Mus musculus: one gene and its partners. The protein of the gene in region 3 purifies or fractionates together with the protein of the main gene of each other region. This does not show direct contact. Links are inferred from orthologs where the notes say so. Each region holds a gene or a part of one and is shown on either strand. Other genes may lie near its edges. The genes, in order: Dnmt1, Chd3, Mta2 and Bcl11a.

Region 1 (4,265 bases), on a different chromosome or scaffold from region 3:
CTCCTTCTACCATTAATGTGAACCGGTTCACAGAGGACTCCCTCTTACGCCACGCCCAGTTTGTAGTGAGCCAGGTAGAGAGTTACGACGAAGCCAAGGACGATGATGAGACCCCCATCTTCTTGTCTCCCTGTATGAGAGCCCTGATCCATTTGGCTGGTGTCTCCCTGGGACAGAGGTAAGGATGTAGCAAGAATCAGATTGGAGGCTTGAGACCAGAGGAGGCAATCTCCTGTGTTTGGTTCTCTGAAACGGTGGCCATCTCCCTCAGGCGAGCAACAAGGCGCGTCATGGGTGCTACCAAGGAGAAGGACAAAGCACCCACGAAAGCCACCACCACCAAGCTGGTCTATCAGATCTTTGACACTTTCTTCTCAGAGCAGATTGAGAAGTATGATAAGGAGGACAAGGAGAATGCCATGAAGCGCCGCCGCTGTGGTGTCTGTGAGGTGAGCCGGCTATCCTTGGCACCCCTTCCTTAGATGTGAAGGAGAGCACTCCATGCTTTGGGGTAGCCTCCTGACCCTCTCTGTCCATCTGGGGTTGAAGTCGGAGTGTCCAAGACCTTTGGTCTTGCTGATGCTAGGCTACAGATCCTGGGTTTCCTGAGAGATGCTAGCTCCGCCTCTATTTCCTGTGGGTGTTGAGAGAGCAGACGCTGACCCCAGGAGCCAAAGCTGTCCCCTCCACCCCCACCCCCGGGCACATTTCCTGGGATTCTATCTAGAACTGAAAGTGCACATTTCTCTCAGTTTAGACTTATGGCTGCAGAAGCCTCTTGCTTTGACCTCCAAGAGCTGGCCTTACAGACCTGTGCCACCGTGCCTGGCTCTTGTGAATTATAAATCCTTTTCATATAGATAGCCTTGGAATCAACCTACATTACACTAAACAAGCAAACACAAACTTCAAATAATGTGGTAAAGCTACACATGGAGGCGCCGGCCTGTGATCCTGGCCCAGGCTGAGAAGTGGAGGCAGGAGGATCGGGACTGCAGGGTCATGCTCAGTTTATCGTGAGTTTGAGGTCAGCCTGGGCTGAATTTATCCTAAACCATAGCCTACACGTGCATGTGTGTTCTGAGGCGCTTCTGTGTCCAGGGCTGACTGAAACTCCTCGTGTGCACTGGGTATCCAGGTATGCACTGCCGTGGCCAGACCTGTGACGTCAGTGTGTCCTGCCTGACAGCAGCTTGCAGGGCTCGCCTTGGCCCAGGCTGTACAGGGACTTGGGTATCCTGTGGCTTTGAATGGGTGAGGAGACTCCTGCGTGTGCTGTTCTGAGCATCCAGGGGGCAGCTGGGGGTTTATTTTCTTCAGAGAAAGTCACCTTTTGCAATTTAGTGTTTTGACTTTCCCTGGGTAGAGCCTGGCTGGTTTCCACACACCACAGTAGCATGTCCTCTACTCTCTTGGCAGCCCTCGTGAGGATGCCCTGTCCTCGCTGTGCCTCGACTTTGCTCACTGTCCTTGTATCTGGTGTTTGTTTTAAAGGTGCCCCTTTTTTGGCAGTGGTGTGGGAGTGTGGTTGCAGTGGTGGTGGGTTTTTTTAGGTGAAGTCGGGTACTTGATGGTCCTGTTTGGTTACCTTATTCTCATGGTTCGTTTTTGTTAGGGGCTGTCCCCACTGACTGGTGGGGACTCTGGTAGCTCTGTGACACTCAACAGAGCTGCTTGTGAGCTTCTAAGGTGCCGTCAGCACCCTGTTCACCTCCGGATTCTCAGATGCACACGCCCCTTCTGCACGTGTCCTCTGTGAGCAGCCGGATGGCCTGGTACCTAATACAGGTTAAGGCCATGTGTGGCTGCCACACTATTGCTCAGGGGAAGGGTCAACACACTCTGTTCAGCACAAGGCCAGTATGTTTTCAGAGTTTCATTAGAGAGCTGTCTGCATGGGCCACAGTGCATATGAAGGTCAGGAGGAACTCTGTAGAGTTGGGTTTCTGCCTTCCTGTGGGCCTTGGGTATTGAACTTGGGTTATAAGGCTTGGCACCAAGTGCCTTTACCCACTGGCCCAACATGCAGATTTTTGAAAGTTATAATTAAAAATTCCTGGGCCTGGGTGTGGTGGCACACACCTCTAATCCCAGCATTCAGCTGCAGAGGCAGGAGTATCTGAGTTCAAGGCCAGCCTGGTCTACATAGTTGCATGACAGCCAGAGTTTTGTAGAGAGAGACCGTCTCCAAAACAAAAACAAAAAGGCCAAACAAAGTTTCTAGTTGAGAATTGCTGATTGATCGACTTGTTTGCTATTTTTCAGGTCTGTCAGCAGCCTGAGTGTGGGAAGTGCAAGGCGTGCAAAGATATGGTGAAGTTTGGTGGCACTGGACGGAGTAAGCAGGCTTGCCTCAAGAGGAGGTAGGCTGTGCTGTATTCTACTCGGATAACAGAGCAGCCAGGGTGCCAGGGCGTGCTGCAGGGACGGGGTGTGGAGCTGACATGCGCTTTGCTGGGGTTGACTGCAGTGTGTGTTCTGCAGGTGTCCTAACTTGGCGGTGAAGGAGGCAGACGACGATGAAGAGGCTGATGATGATGTGTCAGAGATGCCATCACCCAAAAAGCTGCATCAGGGGAAGAAGAAGAAGCAGAACAAGGACCGCATCTCCTGGCTTGGGCAGCCTATGAAGGTGAGGCCCCTTCCTCTTCATGCTTCTTCTCTTCGCGCCTCTGAGCCCAGCCGTGCAGCCAGGAACCTGCTGGCAGCCTCCCGAGAGAGGAGGACTGTCGTCCAGCTGCTGTCCCCTTTCCCTCCCTCGTTCCTGATACTGGGAGTGGAATGCAAGGCCCCAGACTGCTGGACTAGAGCTCTGCACCTGAGCTGTGCCTCACTCCTCATGGTGGACCCTGAGCCGAGGCTGCAGCACAGGTAGCCCATCCGCTTGTGCCCTTTGTGGTGCTCCATTGCCACCTCTCAGGCGCTAAGCCGCGTGCTGCCCTGTCAGACTCTGTTTTGTTGCTATAAAAACCAAGCCTGATGGTGGTGGCACACAGCCTTTAATCTCAGCACGCGGGAGGCAGAGGCAGGCATGGCAGGCATAGCTTGAGTTCTGGGCTACCCTGGTTTACACAGCATATTCCAAGACAGCAGTTCCAAGAATGGGGAAAGGTCAGAAGCCTTGTGGGTTTGGTTTGGTTTGGAGATGGGATCTTACTGTATAAGTTAGAACTTCTATTTTCATTAGTTTTTTTAGATTGATTTATCACATGTAGATGGCTGGGGTTAGAAGAAGATATGGAATCATCTAGACCTGCAGTTAAGGTTGGTTCTGAGCCACTGTGGGTGCCGGGACCCGAATCCAGGTTCCCTGTAAGAGCAGTGAGTGCTCTTTGTGGAGTTGCTTTCTTTTTAGCCTTTCCAAAGTGAGGATTACAGGCATGCGCTACCAATCTCAGCGGCTCATGCCTTTTGAGTCAAGGTTTTTTACTGTGTAGCTCTGGCTGGCCTGGAACTCAATGCAGCCTGCCTCTGCCTCCAGAGTGCTGGAATTAAAGATGTGTGCCATGACACCTGGCTTTTTTTCTTAATTTGATTACATTTACTCATGGATGCCGCAGCACGGTGTGTCAGGACAGGTCGTGTAAGTCGCCAATCTCCATCTCCCATGTTGGTCCCAGAGATCAACCTTTGGTCATCTGCCTTGGAAGCGAGCTTCTTTGTTTATCCACTGAGCCATCCCATCCTCCATGACTTAGTAAATCAAAAGTTGTGGTTGGTTGGTTTGTCTGTTTGTTTATTAAGGGTTGCTAGGGATGGAGCCCAGAGCCTGGTATCTCTTAAGTACACTTTGCACTGCTGACCCACACACCCTTAGTCCCAAGTAATTTTCATAGGAAGTCAGGGAGAGCCGCCACCCAGGTTAAATCTAGTGAGAGCCTTGGATGTGACTATCACCTGGGCTCCATCGCTTGCTTTCAGATTGAAGAGAATAGAACTTACTATCAGAAGGTGAGCATCGATGAGGAGATGCTAGAGGTGGGCGACTGCGTCTCGGTCATTCCAGATGATTCCTCCAAACCACTCTATCTAGCCAGGTATGCATGCCTGCCTTTTCTCTTGAACACCTCAAGTCCAACTTTGTCAGAACAGACCCCAGGTTCTGCTGGTTACATGAGACATTTCTTCCCCGTCCTGTCTTATGACTGCAGGGTCACAGCTCTGTGGGAAGACAAAAATGGTCAGATGATGTTCCATGCGCACTGGTTCTGCGCTGGGACAGACACAGTCCTGGGAGCCACCTCCGACCCCCTGGAACTGTTCCT
Region 2 (4,768 bases), on a different chromosome or scaffold from region 3:
GCCCAGAGGCAGTGTGTGAAAACCGATCCAGGGCTGTAATAGGAAGTCAGACGTCAGGCCCAGCAGCTGGCTCCCCTTAACTCTAGGGACTTGGGTTAACACGAACATGGAAACGACGACCGCGGGGCAAGTGGCAAGGGCAGGCCAGGCTATGCCAACTGGCTAAGGATCAGGGAAGTGGGCCGCCTGGGTCACCCTGGGTGTGTGGGGCGAGGAAGCCCGTGAACTCTACTTCCCACCCAGCCCGGCAGGAGGTTCTCAGTTTTAGGCCGACGTCGGTGGCCAGCAGAGGGAAAGAATGGCGAGGAGAGGCAAGGAAGGGTAATAAAGCAAATCTAAGCCCCAACCTCTGTCTCAGCAGCCTCTCAAAGCTGGCCGCGAGCCCAGACTCTCCCACTTCCCGGCTCAGATCTCGGGAAGGTGGGGAGGGCGAGGGCGGAGTCTGGCAGTAGGGCTGTGGGAGGAGCCTGGGCAAGAGCCTTGCTCCCGCCCCTCTCTCCTAATCTCGCCATCAATCTCTCACACTTATATTTATTTTTTTCTCAAATTCCCCTCCCTCCCCCACAACGAACCTCCATAATAGGTCTACTGCACATGCGTACTGAATGCAGGAGGTGGGTTTGTATTTTCAGACCTTTTGCAAAGAAACTACCAGAATTTTCCGCACCACCCACAATCATTTCCCCACCCCCATCCCCACCCCCCAAGGAATCACATCTATATATTATGTTATATTATTTCTCTAGACTTGCCAGAAGGGGGAGGGAGAAGAAATGAGGTTTTTTTCTTTAGCTTCCTGCTCCCTTCCCCCACCAACACGAATGCTATTATTTTAAACGTTCAACAATGTAAGGAGACTGGCGCGATGGGGGAAGGGATAAAAATTGGTCTTGGGTAAGAATGTAAAACAAAAATGGTGAGAATCAAAGCAGTCGCACTGAAAAACAATGGAAGGCTCTCACGAGTACAAATTCATATTCCAGAAAGAGACGAGGGCGGGCAGCCTGAACAGAGCTCCTTAAGAGGAGACTTATTTTTCCCCACACTGAGGTAGACGGATAATGAGTACGCTAAAAATATTTTCCGAAAGTTTTACCTCAGAAAGTCATCTGAGGGGGTGTATCTGGGTCATTTTGACTTGGAGGGCTGGAAGGGGGATGAAATTGCCCAGGGAGACAGAGGAGGTGAGATTTCATTTCAAACATAAAAATTCAAAAGCTTTTGACGCTTCTCAAGGATTCAAAAGCAAGGGGGGAGGGAGGACGCCACACAAAGACCCATCTCGACCTTAGGCTCGTTCATTCTCCTCTCTTACAGGCATCCAGTGCCGGGGATCAAAACCAGATCCGGAGTTCAGAACAGTTAGGCGAGAGTTACCGACGCCCTAACTCACCTGACAAGCCCCTCTCCCCTCTTTTTCACACCTTGCCGCAGGCAGCCCTGCGGGCAGCCCTCTCTCTCCTCAGGATCTTTAATTCTTCCCCCACTCCAAGGGAATCCTGAGGGCTCGCTGGAATAACTTTTTTCTAAACTTTTCCTCTTTTACAGGTAAACCTGACGAGGTTAGGGGTGAGGCTTTACCCAATACGCATTAAACACATTATTTTTAACACCCCCCACCCCCGGAAAAGCTGTCTCAACACGTGCGACAAAAAGTCACAGTGGTCAGTAAGACAGTTTTACAAATAACGTTTTAAAGTTTGGTGTGTGTGTGCTGCTCTGCCGCCAGAGACTTGGGGGTGTGGATGTCCCCAATCAGAGGTTGGCGACACCTATCCTAAAGAAGCTAGAAATCACTCTCCACTTGGAGGGTGGTCTGAGAGTTGCGCCACTGATCCAGAGAAGGGTCTGTCCCAAGCACAGCTGGACGTCCTACGCCAGTGGCAGGTGACTTGTCATCTCGGAGAAGGGTGCTGAGTGATGATGGTCAGGACAGAGCAGCTGGGTGGGCAGTTCACGCCCCCCAACGTGGTCAGGGTGTGTGGGTGGTTTCATCAAGAGAGTGACAGTGAATGGCAGCCACGTGAGAGTCACAGCTGGGCAGTTCGGCCACCCCAGACTGACGGGGTCACGAGGGGGGGATGGGGGCTGCACTTGACACAAAAGAGCCCGGGGCAGAGATGACGAGGGTGGGGCCGGGGGCATCTGGCTCCCCAGACATTCTCCTGTCTCTCTTCAAATCTGAGGTGACCCGAGACCTCGGCGGCCAGCTAGGGGGGAGTGGACGGTATGTCCAAGTCTTACTCCAGGAAGTGGTCTGCGTGGAGTGTGGCCACCACCTGCCTCTGGTCATCAGCCGCTACAAACATTCGCACGCCCCCTCCCACGCGTGCCACCGCACACCCCTAAGTTGGCGGGCACCGAAGTCCCTGCAGGTGGAGGGGCTGGTCCGCGGGCCACTGTCCCACCTCTGCTTGCCCAAGTCCCCAGCGGAGGGCGTCGGGTGGCAGTCAGCTCCACACCCCGAACCCACTCGGCTTCAGTCCGACCCCACCGGGGCCCGGCCCAAGGGGCGCTCACGCGGCCGCCCCTCCCCCACGCGCCCCTCCCCCCACGCCGCCGTCCGGTCGCCGGGGTCTCCGCGGTCCCTCGCTCGGCCTGGGAGGGGGGCCCTGGCTTCGCTACGGCCGTTTCCTGCCTACCCCCTCCCCGCCGAGGGTGAAAAAAATAAATCTCCTCCCCCGAAAGCCGCGACCAAGTGGCCCGGTCCGCGCGCGCAGCTCGCTCCCTGCGCTCTCCAGCCCGGGCGCGGCGGCGGCGGCGGCGGCGGCGGTGGCGGCGGCCGCGGTAGCGGCGGAGGAGGGGTGCGGCGGGGGAGGGGAGGAGGCCTGGCCCCAAGGCCGCCGCCGCCCGGACTGCCGGGCCCGTCTAGACCCGCCAGGCGCCCGGGACTCTCCTCGGCTCGGCCGAACCGTAGGTGCCGGGCCCCGCGGCTCCGCTCGGGCCCCGGGGAGTCGGACGGACGCTTACCTGGTGGCGGGGGCGGCGGCAGCGGCGGCGGCGGCGGCGGGAAGAGGTGGCAGCTGGGGGGGCTGTGGCGGTCGCGGCTCCGGTCGTGGCCCGGCCCGCGCCCGAGTACTCCCTCTTCGTCCTCCTCCTCATCGTCCTCGTCGGCCGCCTCCACCTCCTCCTCCTCCTCGTCGCCCTCTTCTTCCTCCTCTTCTTCCTCCTCCGACACCACCATCTCCTCCTCCTCCTCCTCCTCGTCCCTCAGAGGGGAAGCCATCCTGTGGCTCTGGCCCCCCCACCACCCCCCCACCCACCGCCCGCCCGCCTCCCCCACCGCTACCACCACCACCTCCTCCTCCTCCTCCTCCTCCTCCTCCTCCTCCTCGGCGGCGGCGTCCTCCTCCTCCTCCTCCTCACCGCCTCCCCCAGCCCCCCAAACCCCCGGGCCACCCCCCTCCAGAACACCCACCCCCGGGGCCGGCGTCTGAGGAGGGGGGCCGCACCACCCCCAAAAATGTTCTTGGAAAAATTTAAGGACTTTTTCCCCCTTCTGTCTTTCCTCCCAAGAGAACAAGAAAGGGAGATCGTTTAAAAAAAAAAAATTATATATATGTATATAAAAGTTTTCGACTTCTCTCTACCCCCCTCGGTTGCTTTAAATATATTTAAATTCTGAGGGGGGCGCTCAGAAATATTTCTCAGAGCTGAGGCACTAAGATGGCCGCCTTGAAATTATTTTTAAAACAACCCCCCCTCCAGCACTGCCACCCCCCTCTATAAAGAAAGAGAGAGGGGGGTAAAATCCCCTTTTAAAACAAAATGGCTGGCTTAATATTTCATTTTTCATACACCCCCATTCTCCCTGTTACATCCAATCTCCAAGCTTCTACTCAGAAACCCACAAATTTCTCCCTTTTTTCATAACTGATTAGTGCACAGATTAATACATTTTCCTTGTGTATTGAGAGAGAGAGAGAGAGAGAGAGAGAGAGAGAGTGTGTGTGTGTGTGTGTGTGTGTGTGTGTGTTGGGGGGCATGAAGGATTTCTGCATAAAACAAAAATGGCTGCTGTGACTTAACTCCCCCCCTTATAAAAATATTTGGGGGGGTATTAATCAGTACTCATGCTCAGTCTGACATCAGCATAAATTGTTAAAGGTTAACTAGTTAGATACTAGTCCAACTAGATTGAATTTTTCTTTTCTTTACTAGTCTTCTTCCTCCCCCCACCTCCCTTCTCTAAAGAAAAGCTTTTTTTTTTTTTTTCTGAATACTTCAGAAGGGAGTGGTTTGATGTGAAGGTTTTTTTTTTTTTTCCTTCAGGCATTGAAAAGGAAAAAGATGAAATATATGTTTATATATAACTCTCTACATACCTCATTGAAGTCAAAATGCATTTAATTGTGTACGTAGCTTTTAAATGAGAAATGGTACTGGCTTTTTTTTTTTTTCTCCTTAAAAAAAAAGTGACAGAAATCCTAGTGACTTTGGGGGGAGAGATATGAATAGATGATTGAGTTTTTTTTCCAAGGAGTCCATGTTTGATTCTCTCCTTTGCCCAGCCCTCAGTGTTCTGTGAATGTTGTCAATTTTATCTCTACTCTTTCCCTTCCTCTCCTCCAGTGGCTTGCTTGTAAAATCGTCTGACTTGAGAAATTAATTTGGTGGTGACTAGGTCAGATTTTTAGGAGAAAGAGGAGAGGGTCGGATCTGAAGATTGTGAAATTCTTTTCTCCTGTGTCATCGAACGCCTCTTCCTCCATGACCTTCGACACTGATAAAGTAGAAGAAACTGAGGCACGGGGAGAGGAAAGCAACT
Region 3 (5,045 bases):
TTCTGATTGGATAAGGCCAAGGTCAGCCCCTGCCAGATGGAGCCGGAAACCCCAAAGGGCCAGGAAACTTGGTAGGCCCAGTTCATTAACCCTTTCATGACTGCAGCCTGAAAAAGAATCTAGGAGGGAAAAAGGGAGTTAAAAGAAAACTAAGTGATGCGGGTAGTGCTGGCACACGCCTTTAATCCCAGCACCAGGGAGGCAGAGGCAGGTAGATTTCTATGTTCAAGGCCAGCCTGATTTACAGAGTGAGTTCCAGGACAGCCAGGGCTACACAGAGAAACCCTGACAAAGAAAAAAAAAAAAAAAAAAGGAAAGAAAAAAGATAAAACTAAGTGAAAAAAAATTACAATATAAAGATCATAGAGAAAATGCAGACAAAGCAAAAATAAGTAAAAATGACACTAACTGGAATGGAGAGGAAAAATGGTGAAGGCAGGGAAGTCCAAGAGAACTGCTCCTAGCTTATCATCTCTATTAATGTTTTGGCATCGCCTCCAGACTACAGCATAAGCCTCTCTGTTATGCAGACTTCTCAAAACAGTATCTTCCTCTTCACCTTGGCCATCACTCACTAACCACTGTCCCAAAGTACCCAAAATGTCCCCGAGTGCCTGCTTCTCTAAAGCTCTTTTCATTTCCTATCTAAATATCTCTCCACTCACACACATAAGCCTCATTTTGGCTTTCCTTATCATGGTCTGCCCGCCCTGCTTCCAACCCCAACGTGTAACAACAGGCCTCCCTCCGCAGACCAGGCACTTCCCACCCCCCCCCAAACTCACACCCTCCCTTGGGCATGCTGCCAGGGGAAACACCTGCAGGAACATGTCTAGTCCTCAGATCCTGGGGAAGGGAGATGGGTAAGGAATGAAGACACTCACGAGCATTACTGTCAGCCAAGCTGTTGAGGCTACTAGAAATATCCCTTCGCCGGAAAAGACAGACAACCTTTGCTTCCACATTTCCATTTGCAGTCTAAAGGAGGGAGAAAAACCGAGAAGGAAAATTGGCCATTTGAAAGTGGAGATGCATGCCGGGTGTGGTGGTGCACGCCTTTAATCCCAGTACTCGGGAGGCAGAGGCAGACGGATTTCTGAGTTCAAGGCCAGCCTGGTCTACAAAATGAGTTCCAGGACAGCCAGGGCTACACAGAGAAACCCTGTCTCAAAACAAAACAAAACAACAACAACAACAAAAGAAAGTGGAGGTGCTGGGGGGAGGTGGGGGAGTGGAAGTGCGCAGAGTCAAAAGCAATATCTCCTTAAGGGTCTAAGTAGAAGAGCTAGAAAAACTTAGCAGTAAAGACTTAATACTCAAAGATAATTTCAGAACCAATGAAAAGGGTCTCCATGAGTTTAAGATCAGCCTGGTCTACACAGCAAGTTCCAGGCAGCCAAGGTTACATAATAGAGAGACCCTGTATCATTAAAAAAAAAAAAAACCAACTCCACTCACCTTATTGAGCTCCTCAATCCGTCTAACCAGGTAAGGATTGCTGGAGGAGTTCTCAAAATAGACGTAATCTGTAGGAGGTGGGGAAGAAACAAGAGGATCAGAGGAGAGGGCACCCAGATGAAAAAGTCGCTCTGTGTGGACCAAAATGAGACAAAATTCTAGATAGAGATGAAGTGGAGATGAGCAAGAGGAGAGAGTTAAGAAAATAAGTACTAGTCATTAGCTGGACAGTGGTGGCATATGCGTTTAATCCCAGCAGTCTGGGAGACCAAAGCAGGCTCTTGGTTCAAAGCCAGCCAAGTCTACAGCTCAAGTTCCAGGACAGCCAGGGTTACACAGAGAAACCTTGTCTCAAAAGAAACAAGGGGGAAACCTGCCTCAAAAAGGAAATGGGGGGTGGGGGAAGAGAAGAGAGAAAAAAAGAAAAAAAAAAAAAAAAAAAAGGAAGGAAGGAAAAGAGATATTATGGAAATACTTTGCCAGGCAGTGGTGTCACACACCTTTAATTCCAGCAGTCAGGAGGCAGAGGCAGGCGGATCTCTGAGTTCGAGGACAGCCTGGTCTACAGTATGAGTCCCAGGACAGCCAAGACTACACAGAGAATAAACCTTGTCTAAAAAGAAACAAGGAAAAAAGAAGAAAAAGGAAATGAGTTTTTACCCCCTACCCCTGCAACACCCAGTTCTAAAGTCAGATCTTCACTCAAAAGTGAGACTTAAGAAACAAGAACAAGAATTTCCCTGGAGTCCATACAACTTTGCACTCAAGTTGCATCCTTGTATAGGAGAATTGAGTAAACTGTTCAGGCCCCACCTTCGCGAACGCACAAGCCGCCACAGAAAAGAAAACCCCTGCGCGCCTAGCCCCTAGCGCGGCTGGCCGGACGGTGGGTCACTCGGGCCCCTTCCAAAGCCAAGGCCACTTCCAGCCCGGCGATCCAGTCACAGGTCTCAAGAGCACCGTTACGGCTGCAGGTAAGCCTCTGCGGTAGACTCTGCGCCCGATAGCGTCGCCGCCGCGGAACCATGGCTCTTGATTCCGGTTCCGGTCGGTGCCGCGGCCCACACGACCCCAGATGTGGCTCCCCCGCGCCTGCGGACACCGAGTCTCCCTGATCCCGGCCTCAGCCTCTTCCGCTCAGGGTACTCACCTCCCACCCGGTACATGTTAGCCGCCATGGCCGTTCCCGCCGCCGCCTCCGGCCACACAAAGAGGTCCCGGAGGCTCGCGGGGGCAAAGCTCAGCTCCAGACGAAGCCCCCAGCGCGTGGCTGACGCTTCGCGGAAGTGTCGATGGGGCCCGAGCAGCCGGCACCTCTGCTCGCTCAGCCGCCGCGGCTCATCACTGCCCGCGCGACGACGACACTGCTATAGCCTCACGCCGGGACACCGAGGCCAGCTCCGGTCTACTCGGCTTCTTCCGGAACGAGCTCGATTCCTGCCTGACCGGAGTGAGGTTCCAGCTCCTAGCGTCCTCACCGAGTCCCAGCAGACGTCGTGCGGTGCCAACCGCTGGCAAGGTTTGCCCTGCCCGCGTCCGGGTTCGCCTCCTTCCGGAACACCTTCGGCCGATCCGGAGAACAAGGCCCAGCGCTCGGCTCAGGTCGGAGAGCAAGACCCCGCAGATCGGCCACTTCCGGAAGGAACTCGGCTCCTTTCGCTCAGCCGCGGCCTCGCGCTCGGTTATTTCCGTTGCAGCTCGACCCCGCCCCTGAGGGCGGTGAGGAGCCGGAATTAACTCTTTGCACTATGGGTCCTAGCAGCTCCCCGGCAGTGGCGTCGAAAGGCGCGCGCGCGCCCTCACTCTTCTTGAGGTTATTTGCAAGCCGCTTTGCCTGTTATTTGCATATTTGGTCTGAACTCCCTTTTCTCTTCCCGCCCTGCACTTTTTTCTTTCATCCTAACACAACTGGGCCCCTGAGGGGACCCGCCGCACAAAAGCACCAGGCAGTTACTTTTTTCTTTTTATTGCCCCTCACCGAGCAGAGGGTGTCGGAGCTGGGTTGCCTGGCTCAGCCAGCAAGTCTGTTGTTATTTTGTGTGCAGTGGGGTGGTTAGCCCCTCCAGAAAAATGCGCAATTGGGAATGTATGAAGTCAAAGAAAAAGCCAGCACAGGAAAAGACTGTCCTTGGTCCTAGGGGTTTTGGCCAGGGTGGGGCCAGACCACAGTACCAGAGGGACAAGACCATCCAGCATCAATCACACGTCCAGGGAGGAGGCAGGGGACAGAGAGGGCGTTCTAGATGGTGTGGCAGGAGCGGGCCCAGAGCTCCCTGCCCCCAGCACTCGCCACTGAAAGATGCTAGCATCCTTGCCACCTAAGGAGACAAGGTATGAGTCGTCGTGCGTGAACCGGACACTAGTCACATGGCTGCCATGGCCTGAGTACATACGACTTGGCGCCTAGATGAGAGAAAAAAAAAAAAAAAACAACTGGTTGCAGCAATGGCAGGGTACCAAACCTACCCACCTGGGCCCAATGGTCCCCTGAAGCCTCACCTTGGCTCGAGCACATGGGTACTGAAAGAGGTGTACTTTGCAGAAGTCGTCTGCCACAGCCACCACCCGTTCATTGTGGGAGCGGCAAAGGGAGTTGATGTCTGTCCCATCAGAGCCATCAGGCCACACACCTAACACAACAGGTGGCCTGAGTCAGGCTGCTACCACAACCTAGAGTTGCAGTGTTTCAGGTCTTCAGGTTGCCACTGCGCTCCAGACAATCCCAAGGGGCCTCCTAGCCTGGATTTGCCACTATGACCCCCACCCCGAGGTGGCACACGCCCAGGATTCTGAGGGCAGAATGGGTTCTTCCTTGTTTCCCCAGCCCTCCTAACGGATTCCAGATCCTGGCTCACCATAGACGTGGAAGCCCAGCACACAGGTATAGGTAGCCCACTCCCGGTCTCTGCTCTCATAGCGGTTCCTCAGCAGTTTGCAGCCTCCAGCCACATCCCCTAGGTGGAAATCGCCTACTCAGCCGTCATTCTTCCCTCACTTGACGACATGAACTGATCATAGGCATAGCGTCCACTATGAACCCCACTGTGTGCTTCCCAAGTTCTCACTGACTTGGCTTGGCTTTAAGTTAGGCCTGCATGATGGTGCAGATCCTTAATCCCAGTCCTAGTGGGGCAGACAGATCTCTGAGTTGGGGGCCACCCTGGTCTACAAACGCAGGTGACAGAGGGAACCCTGTCTCAGAAACAGAGAATGTAGCCTTAGACATGCCTAGAGCCTCTGGATAAAGCACTAACAGTTTCTCATCAGCTGCCCCTCCCCCACTTGCCCTAAGGAGCTATCCTAAAGCACTGTCTTCTTGGTGCAGCCGGCTTTTTCCTTTGTTTTGGTTTGTTTTGGTTTGGTTTTTTTTTTTTGGGGGGGGGGGTTGTTTTGGTTTGGTTTTTGGTTTTCCGAGACAGGGTTTCTCTGTATAGCCCTGGCTGTCCTGGAACTCACTTTGTAGACCAGGCTGGCCTTGAACTCAGAAATCCACCTGCCTCTGCCTCCCCAGTGCTGGAATTAAAGGTGTGCGCCACCACGCCTGGCCTTTCCTTTGTTTTGTATTTTGAGGCACAGTCTTCCTATGC
Region 4 (3,880 bases), on a different chromosome or scaffold from region 3:
TATACTTGCTGCCTTTGTTTCTGGATGTTTAGGGTTGAGGGGAAAGGTCATTTTTATTATGAGGAAAGGTCATTATGGAGAATAGGGAGCTATTCGTTTAAGGATCCCCCTTTTTTGACATTACACTCTAAAATAGGGAAATAATGGAAGAACAGAAAGGACTTTTAGACACAACAGGCACAGCAGAAAATCCAAAGGAGACAACTGAGGGGCGGCTCCTGGGCTCACAGGTACCTAGTGGATCCCACTAAGGACAGAGCAGAAGTTTTGAACAGTGAACAAGAATTACCTTCCAACTGATCTAAACCTGTACTTCCATGGCTTGAGGTATGTCTATTTTAATAACAGTAAGTATATTATGCTCCTTTAGGGTATAATACACACATCAAAATGCCCATAGAAATGACCCTGAAAAAGACTAACTGGCCTTCTCTCAAAACCTGTTATTTTGTTGAAAGTAATTTACAGAGTGTGTCAAATGAGGACACAAGAAGCTGACATAGTACTTTAATTTTTTTATTTTTTTTCAATAAAGGGACAAAATGGGTGTATGAACAGGTTAATGCAGACAACTGCCAAAAAAACACAGACAGTGGTTTTTCCAATAGAACTTAACAAAGACCAGAAACAAATACAGTAAAAAGCCAGGTTGCAATGACCTTTGGTCATCCAAATTAAAAAAAATAATAATAAAAACAGAGAAAAATAAAAGATCAAATTAAGTGCCTCTGTTTTGAACAGGGCATATAAGCAATAATAAATAGTGACTCCCATAGTAAAAGATAAAATTTCAAGTTACGACAAACAGCTTTCATTACAGGAATAGAAAAGGCCAATAACAAAATATTCTGCATTGCCATTTACAAAAAAGTATTGACTAAAGCGGGCTTTCTCTTTAATATGCTTTGCATAAGAAATTCTCTCCAATCTAAATATAAAGCACCATTTAGTTTTTGGCAATGAAAAAAACTGCAAAACATTGTTGTTGTTTTTTTTTTCCTTTTTTTTTTTCTTTCTTTCTTTTACTGCATATGAAGGTAAGATGCTGGAATGTCGGGTGAGCGGGGAGGAGGGGCCAAAGCACACTACATAACAAACCAACGCTATTAGCTTGCAGTGCTGCGTACAGCATGGCAGCAGGAAAGGGGGAAAAGGATATGTACAACCCCTATGACAGCCATCCATGTGACATTCTAGCAGGCTCCCCAAACCGCCATTATATGGCTTCTCTGTACAATGTCACACCTCTCTCTCTCTCTCTCTCTCTCTCTCTCTCTCTCTCAGCATACAAATAATTTGCACTATATTATCCTGCCAAATTAAAAAAATATACTGTGGCAGCCTGTCTTTTTTTTTCTACTAACAAAAAGGTACATTGATACCTTTTGAGTGAACAAGCAACAGTTAAAAATACAAGCTTCAATATAAATACTATAGTGCCTAACACTAGATGAACATTTAATTCAAATACCATTCTAGAAATACAGAAAGAAGACCATAACTGTGTTTTAGCATAGGAATCAACATGAGTGTGCGTTTTCCTATTTTTAAGTACTATATAATCTTAAACCTTTCCCCATGTATGTTTTTTTTTTGTTTTGTTTTGTTTTCATTTTTTTTTACAACCTGAAGAGCGGTGTGTGATCCAAGGCATAGAATTTCCACTACCATTTTTAAATGGATAACAGGTCTTGTAACACCACCAAGACAATGGAACCCTAAAATGCTGTTCCCCCCTAAACATAATGAAGTGTCTTTTTAAAAATTCTTTTCTTAACATTTATACTTAAAAAAGTTTTGTACAAAAATCCTTGCACTGTAGAAGCAAAGGAGTCATTCGTTTCTATGTTAAGTGTGTTGTTTCCATCCACAGCGCTTGCAATGTTGCATCCAAGTGAGGAAGCTCAATAGTCAAGTCAATGGCTGGCAACGTCTGTCTTAGTTTTTTTTAGGTTTGCTTGTTTTTTTTTATTATTTTTTAATGCTCATCATTGAGATTGTGTTCAATTGTTTTCAGCATTCTTGCAACGTTTCCCTTAATAAAGACCTGTAAACTGGGAAAACTGTACAGTGCACTTAATTGTCCTATCTGAGCAGGTTTATTTTATACTCAACCTCTGTATCTCTGATTAGAGAAAAGATACAGGTATCATAGGCAGAGTCAAGTGCTATTTGAACACCAACTGGGGCAGATGCTAGCTTAAAACAAAGAAGGAAGAAAAAAGAAAGAAAGAAAGAATAAAACAAAATAAAAACAAATCCTCTTCAATGTTAACACAAATAGCACACAGTGTATGGAAAAGAAATGAAGTACAACTTCCAGGGAGCACAGACATAGATACTGCTGCTCTTAAAGGTCTTCCTCTTCTTTTTGAAGACTGTCACATTAAATGCAAGTCTTAGAGCTTCAGAGTTAATCATCATTGTATCGCTGGCCCCTTATACACCTGTTCTAGTTTCAAATGGCAAACAGTACTACATCGTGCTAACCAATCACTACCGTTTTCTGTCTCTCTCTCTCTCTCTCATCATATCAGCCTGTTCTTTCAAATGTCCTCTAAAGGGCTTTATCATTTTATTGTCCACTCAACAACCAACTAGAGCCGGATCTACTTCTTTTGGCGCCAGAATTTCATTAAATGCATCATTTTAAACAAGTATTGTCACAAGATGAACTTCTTGCTAATGTATTTCATCACATTCCAGGGCCTTTGCACATTTCACATTCAATTTGATAACCATTTAAAAATAAAATAAAATAAAACTTTAGGCGAAACAGCCCATTTCTTTTATGCTCTCACAAGGAGCAAAGTAGCTTTTATACTGGTATAATCAGTTTTGTTCACAAAGTTAAAGGCAAAAATCAATGATTAACTAGGACATAATGGGTCATATTTTTAGGTAGCCATTGTTGTGAGAAATACAACACAGAATTACATGCTAGGTCCTAAAGTTTATTACCTCACCCAATGCTAGATTAAACTACAAGTTTATAACAAGCAGAAAAAAAACCATCAACATGGTTTGAATAGATCCAAGGCACTCATTTTAAAAGCCAAATGATAGAATAAACTTGTTCTTCTGTTAATTTGTCAATTCAAGGCCTTTTTTCCCTCTCCAATTAATACATGTAACCCTTTAGAGACAGACATTTAGCACCTTTTTTTCACTGCTATCTGCTCTGTCTGCAGAGGGTTAGTCAACCCAGACACCGTTTCCCTCCTCGTGTTATAAAATAAAGCTGCACATGATCTGTATTACAGAATTATGTATGCAGCATGCGTTGTTTTCTACCCTCCCTCCCTCACACTCTCAGAATGGAACTGGAAACAGCAACAACATGTTTGCTCATAATGAATTAGGGACAATTTAAAATAGCCGTAACATACCATACATGCTGTCTAAGTTAAGGGGGGAAAAACATACACAACATGTAAATTATTGCACAAGAGAAAGGCTCAAAGTTTGCGTAAAATGCAATAGTATTGCCCCAAACATGCATTCAAACGGTGAGAACATAAAGAATTTAAAATTTAAAAAAAAGAAGAAGAAAAAGAAAAAAAAAAGGAAAAACAAAACAAAAAACCAGGTGTGCTGGTGACAAGCACTCATTCATATTCTTAGCTTCCATTACCTCTGTTGTTTGTTTGTTTGTTTGTTTGATCACATGGGACTAGAAAAATCCTACAGGGAGTAGGGCTGGAAGGACAATGGGGAAGGGGTGGAAGGGGGGCATCAAGTGGGAGTGAGGGAGGGTATTAATATACCTCTATTCAGTTTTTATATCATTATTCAACACTCGATCACTGTGCCATTTTTTCATGTGTTTCTCCAGGGTACTGTACACGCTAAAAGGCATCTTACAAATTTCACATTTGTA

The links.
Region 1: the proteins of Mta2 (region 3) and Dnmt1 purify together in Homo sapiens (affinity purification with western blotting; 3 studies listed by BioGRID and IntAct, with this or other methods). This does not show direct contact. The link is inferred for Mus musculus from reciprocal best matches to the Homo sapiens genes MTA2 and DNMT1.
Region 2: the proteins of Mta2 (region 3) and Chd3 purify together in Homo sapiens (affinity purification with mass spectrometry; 8 studies listed by BioGRID and IntAct, with this or other methods). This does not show direct contact. The link is inferred for Mus musculus from reciprocal best matches to the Homo sapiens genes MTA2 and CHD3.
Region 4: the proteins of Mta2 (region 3) and Bcl11a purify together in Homo sapiens (affinity purification with mass spectrometry; 4 studies listed by BioGRID and IntAct, with this or other methods). This does not show direct contact. The link is inferred for Mus musculus from reciprocal best matches to the Homo sapiens genes MTA2 and BCL11A.

The regions. Positions count from the first base shown.
Region 1 is NC_000075.6:20,918,207-20,922,471, reverse strand, and holds part of Dnmt1 (DNA (cytosine-5)-methyltransferase 1), read left to right. Parts: coding exon 1-178; intron 179-271; coding exon 272-449; intron 450-2,265; coding exon 2,266-2,363; intron 2,364-2,484; coding exon 2,485-2,632; intron 2,633-3,921; coding exon 3,922-4,037; intron 4,038-4,151; coding exon 4,152-4,265. UniProt on the Homo sapiens protein: Methylates CpG residues. Preferentially methylates hemimethylated DNA. Associates with DNA replication sites in S phase maintaining the methylation pattern in the newly synthesized strand, that is essential for epigenetic inheritance.
Region 2 is NC_000077.6:69,366,166-69,370,933, forward strand, and holds the start of Chd3 (chromodomain-helicase-DNA-binding protein 3), read right to left. Parts: upstream 3,262-4,768; 5' UTR 3,227-3,261; coding exon 2,971-3,226; intron 2,914-2,970; exon of another isoform or gene 2,825-2,913; intron 1,556-2,824; exon of another isoform or gene 1,394-1,555; intron 296-1,393; exon of another isoform or gene 1-295.
Region 3 is NC_000085.6:8,939,946-8,944,990, reverse strand, and holds the start of Mta2 (metastasis-associated protein MTA2), read right to left. Parts: upstream 3,072-5,045; 5' UTR 2,637-3,071; coding exon 2,609-2,636; exon of another isoform or gene 2,601-2,608; intron 2,519-2,600; exon of another isoform or gene 1,959-2,518; intron 1,527-1,958; coding exon 1,459-1,526; intron 979-1,458; coding exon 885-978; intron 1-884. Other genes in the region: Eml3 (echinoderm microtubule-associated protein-like 3), read right to left, coding at 3,658-3,861, 3,958-4,088, 4,314-4,412. UniProt on the Homo sapiens protein: May function as a transcriptional coregulator. Acts as a component of the histone deacetylase NuRD complex which participates in the remodeling of chromatin.
Region 4 is NC_000077.6:24,165,056-24,168,935, reverse strand, and holds the end of Bcl11a (B-cell lymphoma/leukemia 11A), read right to left. Parts: coding exon 3,770-3,880; 3' UTR 501-3,769; downstream 1-500. UniProt on the Homo sapiens protein: Transcription factor. Associated with the BAF SWI/SNF chromatin remodeling complex. Binds to the 5'-TGACCA-3' sequence motif in regulatory regions of target genes, including a distal promoter of the HBG1 hemoglobin subunit gamma-1 gene.